Linked DNA regions of Saccharomyces cerevisiae S288C. The gene in region 1 interacts genetically with each later gene. Each region holds a gene or a part of one and is shown on either strand. Other genes may lie near its edges.

Evidence for each region.
Region 2: mutations in PAU1 (region 1) and UIP4 together harm fitness more than expected from each alone (negative genetic interaction), as found in Saccharomyces cerevisiae (one large-scale study listed by BioGRID).

What each region holds. Positions count from the first base shown.
Region 1 is NC_001142.9:8,158-10,943, reverse strand, and holds PAU1 (seripauperin PAU1), read left to right. Parts: upstream 1-1,805; coding exon 1,806-2,168; downstream 2,169-2,786.
Region 2 is NC_001148.4:194,011-197,529, reverse strand, and holds UIP4 (Uip4p), read left to right. Parts: upstream 1-2,103; coding exon 2,104-3,018; downstream 3,019-3,519. Other genes in the region: MRN1 (Mrn1p), read left to right, coding at 1-1,580; MF(ALPHA)1 (Mf(Alpha)1p), read right to left, coding at 3,385-3,519.

The DNA of each region.
Region 1 (2,786 bases):
CGGTTTCTTAGACTAAATCATATACGTCTTATTGAAATACGCCTACATAACTTATCCAACCTTGTCTCCTTTTCCAACGTTATGATTCCGGATCTAAGTATAATTTACTCAATAAAATGTGTATGAAGGAAGTGAAGACTCGACAGACCCGCTTACCAGATATTCTTTCTAAACAATAGGGTTTACCAGTACCCCTGAAAATGATAATGGACATGTGCGGCTGATCGCGTTAACTACGTATGCAGTTGAATCAAAGCCATACCACAGAAAATGGTACAAGAACCCACTGGATGGAATAGTGCTGGCTATCAAACTAATATTTTCTTTCCAGCTCTTGGGGGACCTCTACTGCATTATATCGTAGTTTCCGCTTAGTCTGTTTATCGCCTGGGAAAAAGGAGTGTAAGAAGCAGTCAAGTGCGGCGCAATCTTTCGGACAGCGAGCCGCCATTATAGGCGGGAATTCTTGAAGAGTATCGCTGGATATTATTGCAGTGTATTAAATTTCGTCAAGTCTTTGCCAATGGAAATGGGTGCGTAATTTTAGGTGCTTGGTACATATGAGTTCAAAACATATGTAGTAATTGGATAGTAGGTAGTAAGGACACATAATCATGGAAGGGTGACTCACAACGAATCACATAATGGGTTAGGATCGTAAACTTCTACGACTGCAGGCAACTCTCAGCACATGATTTCTTCTTCATTTTTTGGTATGGAAAAGGAACTGTATTTTTTTCTCATGGGTTTGGAAAAACAAAGAGCTCCTCTTTGATGGGGTTGATTGTCAGGCTTATTTGAATGAAACTTTGGTAGCCATTTGTTCTCAAAGGAATCTGTGTTGGCTGGGTTATTAAACGTGGAACTTTGGAAATACATCCAAGAGGCACAATTGAGCTCTAACGATGAGCCGTTACGATAAAGATAGAGACATTTCTTTTGACTTAGAAATTACAAGGAGTATCAACTATTAATATATTTTTCCTAGAAAACGTTTTTAGAATAGAATAGAACAAATTAGCGCCATCTATTGCCCTTACACTTTTTTCCTTCATATCTGACTAGAAAAGGGGGAATACATCTCGGAATCAAATATTTCCCCCTGTGCAAAGTTTTAATACTGCTACTACGAACTGGTTACAATTTTATTTTTATCATACAAGATTCTTTGAATATCAACTTCTCTCAATACCATCCGCCTTCAGCGGCTACAATTACGTAATTGCACCAAGGCATTCGCCGAGAGTTTACATATTTGCAGACCCTAACAGTATACGACTCCCAACACACGTTTAATGTTGTACGAATTCAAGAGATAGAAATATTTCTTGCATGGAAGCCGTTTAGAGCAGACTGAATTTAGGCTTAGACAATAGGCTTCTGTACGAGGGTCCAAATCTAAAATTCGGATATTCTTTTTGACCGAAAATGGAAACTTCGCAGGCGCGCAAAAGGGTTTTTCAAGGCACCTCGGCACCCCTATAATTGGCATTCTCACATTCTGCGCATACGAATACACATGAGTGCCATAAAACAATACTCCACATACGAAGTCTATCAAAGATGTATGATTCGTTCAAAAACAAGAACATCTTCATAGTGATAATGAGATTGTGTGAAAGATGAGATATGGAGAATATGTGAGGTACTAAATGAGCATCTGTTAACGAATCGTTTAAGTAATGATGACAGATGGAGGAACGGGTATAAATAGAGCTGCTCCAACTATATGCCTTTGAGAATATGTCTTTATTCTTTTCTTTCCTGTTAAGCTTATATCAGCACTAACAAACAAAACAAATACAATGGTCAAATTAACTTCAATCGCTGCTGGTGTCGCTGCCATCGCTGCTACTGCTTCCGCAACCACCACTCTAGCTCAATCTGACGAAAGAGTCAACTTGGTTGAATTGGGTGTCTACGTCTCTGATATCAGAGCTCACTTGGCCCAATACTACATGTTCCAAGCCGCACACCCAACTGAAACCTACCCAGTCGAAGTTGCTGAAGCCGTTTTCAACTACGGTGACTTCACCACCATGTTGACTGGTATTTCTCCAGACCAAGTGACCAGAATGATCACCGGTGTCCCATGGTACTCCAGCAGATTAAAGCCAGCCATCTCCAGTGCTCTATCCAAGGACGGTATCTACACTATCGCAAACTAGAGACAAACGCCAATTTTACGAACGGGCTTCCATAGACATTGAAAATTAACGAACAAAATAAAATAAATAAAAAACTACTTTTTTTTGATGATATAAATACCGTAGATTATATAAATGTATATTAATATTATAGACCTATTTGATCAATGACGGTGTTCGTGAAGCATTTTATGAATATGATAAACATAGAAAGAAACTTTTACATTATTGTAGAAAAAGCGTGGACGGTAATAAAGCTAACAGTGTATGTCCAATAAACAACAATGAAATTGGAAGCGTATGACTTCGCAGCACTTTGTCCTTCCATAAAAATGAGTCGCTGCTTCTTTTTTCATTTTTTGGCGCGTCGCGTCGGGCCGTATAGAATATGCGCCACTTCTAAGAACATGATTGCAGATCAGGGCAGTGCGAGCTACAAGTCATGGTATCAGACTCTCATTTAGAGACCCTCATTTTTTGACACGTAAAATATCAAAATTTTTGGGTTGGCACAGTTTTTTGTGTAACTGTAACTAGAAATAAAGCTGAGGGGTTAGTGTTCTATCAACAATAAGATAGAGGGTGGTAAGATGAAGTGAGACAATATCGTAACGTCCGTTTAAGTATACGCCGCTGATA
Region 2 (3,519 bases), on another chromosome or scaffold:
CGTTCTTTTACGAGAATGACGGAATTTTTGATTATCAGCGTATTCAACAGCAACCAACTCAATTCCAGACAAAGCAGCGAAATGATTCACAACAGCAACGGTTTTCACAGGAACAAAATTTCGAAATTGATAACGAAGTTGTCCACAATAACAATCGTTATTATGAATATGAAAGGTCATCAAATGAAGTCTCTCCTTTTGATGATGAGAATCCAAATGTGTTATCTGATGGCATGTCACCCACTATTATGGCAACTGCAACTGCAGTAACCAACGCAAATGCGCCTTTACCAGTTAATGCACAAGCCAATAATCCTTTGAATTTTACATCGGCCCCAAGTAGAACTGTTTATTTGGGTAATGTGCCACCAAACCTAAGCGTTAAAGAGTTATTGGATCATGTCAGAAGTGGTGTCGTTGAAGACGTCAAAATCATACCTGAAAAGATGTGTGCATTCGTTTCGTTTATAGATGAAAGTGCTGCACTATTGTTCCATTCAGACGCAATTTTAAAGCGCTTGAACATCGGTGACAGGGATATCAAAATCGGGTGGGGGAAACCAACTCGAATTGATCCTATTGTAGCGGCTAGAATCTCTACGGACGGTGCCACAAGAAATGTATACATTGGCCGTATGACGATTGAAGGCGAAGAATCACATTTATCTGAGGAGCAATTGAGGGTTGATTTAGAAGAATATGGTGAAATTGACTGTATAAAAATTATCAAGGAAAAGGGAATCGCCTTTATTCATTTTGCGTCTATTTTAAATGCTATAAAAGTGGTTACGAATCTGCCAATTAGAAATCCATACTATCAAAATAAGAGAATATTTTATGGAAAGGACAGATGTGCATTTATTACCAAAACTCAACAACATAATGCGGCTCAATTTCTAGGTGTACAACCTGGTATGGAACATATGATAGAGTTTTCTGATCGTGAATTTATATCTAACGCTTTGTTACAACAGTCTGCTGCTGCTGCTGCAATTGCTACATCTGCGGGCGGCCCCAATAACTTGGGTAACAGGACTGTTTACCTGGGCAGCTTGCCTAAGGATGTTAAAATTGAAGAAATATGTAATGCAGTTCGTGGAGGTTTATTACAAAGTATAAAACTATTGAACGATCGATACGTCTGTTTTGTAACATTCATTGATCCTACTGCTGCTGCGCAGTTTTATGCAATGAGTTCTTTGTATGGATTCACAGTCCAGAAAAAACGTTGCAAAGTCGGCTGGGGTAAACACTCCGGCCCATTACCAAATGCGCTCGCCTTGGCAGTCAGTAATGGTGCCTCAAGAAATGTTTATGTGGGTAATATTGATTTTGTCGGCGATTCCCTAAGAGATGAACGTGTCTTCACCGAAAGCAACTTAAGACATATCTTTCAGCAATATGGGGAAGTGGAACAAATCAATTTCTTGCCTGAGAAGAACTGTTGTTTCATCAATTATACTAACATCAGTAATGCTATTTTAGCCTTAGACAAGATTAAGTCTAACCCCTATTTCAAAGATCTCAAAATAAACTTTGGCAAGGATAGATGTGGTAACGTCCCCCACCAATCACGTTAAACATTATGTATATATGTATATGTATGTACGTAGATGTTTAGTGTCCGTCTGTGTGTGTGTATCCTTGTATGTATGCAGCAATCTGCGGTTTACGTTTAGAAGTCTTGTTAAAATATAAAGATTAAGAATTAGCCACTGCGATCTGCAAGTTTCTCACCGTTTGCAACATTATCATCTTTATCATCGCATTCCCTTTCTTTCACTCATCGCTTTTTCCCTGCTCCCCTGTCAAAGAAATCTCCGAAGCGGTAATATTTTACCCCCACAGTGTAAAGGGTTAAAGATACTAACAAAGTTTCTTTTAAGGGGAACTATGTGAAAATGGGATAAAAAATTTGGCAGTGATGTTCCACCAATACGGTGTACATACAGATAAATAATACAAGACTATCTCAAATAACTTCAATTTTTTTGTTCTTTCCCTCTCTCCCCTACTTTCCTTCTCTATATCCACTTCTTTGCATACGTACGTACATACATACATACTTGGTTGTAACATTAAGATAGGCAAAGCAACTAAATAATGGTCACCATTGTATTTGATCATCCGGCGGAAGACTTTCCAGAGTTGAAGATCGCTGGGGAGTTTACCAATTGGGAAGGTGTACCCATGAAAATAAATACCAGTAGCGGGAAATGGGAATACAAATTTGATGAATCTTCGGTAACCAAACATAATGATAAAGATAAGGTACATTTCAAATTTATAGATCAGAACGGTAACTGGTTTGCCGATGATGAGTATCCAAAGGAGGTGGACGAGCACAGCAATGAAAACAATGTTGCTACTTTAAATAACGAAGAGGACGGCGGAAGCGCTGGTGAAGAAAAGGACGAGGGCGACAAAACTGCACACAATACAAATGAAAATGGGTCAGAGTTGTACTATGAGGGCCCTGAGACGCCAACTCCTTCTTTAAAAGGTAATGTAACGTTTCCTTCCCCTAAAACAGCTATTTCGCAAGATGGTTCTGCTTTTGCAAAAGAGACTACCAGGAAAGAAAGAAAGTATGAACATGCTCCATTGAACGAAGTTCCAGTAGAAAGAGATCCAAAAGAAGAGAATAAGGAGCTCTCTCCAAACTTTTCTCAGGAACAGACAGAGAATAAACAGGACAAAGGTTTAGACAATCTATCTGAAGGTAATGATAATGATAACACAAGAGTTAATGAAGATACAGACGTCACCGACACGCAAGAATCAGAACATGAGATCAACGGTTCTGATACTGAAAATACGGATATGTCCGAACAAGAAGAAATACAGAAAATAGATAAACCCGCCGATCAAAACGCTAAGTCAATTGTAAAAGAAGGCGATGCCAATACTGAAGATTATGAAAGTGTTTTGAAAAAGCTACTGGGAGCGTTAGGACGCTTTTTTGGCTCATGGTTTTCTTGGTTGACAACGAAAATGTCAAGCTCAGAGGCATCATAATCAGGGAGTGTATTTTTTTTCGTTGTCGTTATCCTCTTTGTATTTTACGCTGTTGAATTCTCTTAGGATTCGATTCACATTCATCTTTTTTTAGCTACTAATAGGATAAATTATAGGAATTTATAACAAATTGAAATATGGCAGGCAGCAAAATTAAAATTGTCTTAGTTTTTTAGTGTATAGAAGTGAATAGCTATATAAAGTATGTGTAAAGTTGGTAACGGAACGAAAAATAGAAAAGGATATTACATGGGAAAACATGTTGTTTACGGAGAAATGAAAAGTATATTGTATTTTGTACGAGCTAAAAGTACAGTGGGAACAAAGTCGACTTTGTTACATCTACACTGTTGTTATCAGTCGGGCTTAGTACATTGGTTGGCCGGGTTTTAACTGCAACCAATGCCAAGCTTCAGCGTCGGCTTCTCTTTTGTACATTGGTTGGCCAGGCTTTAGTTGCAGCCAATGCCAAGCTTCAGCGTCGGCTTCTCTTTTGTACAT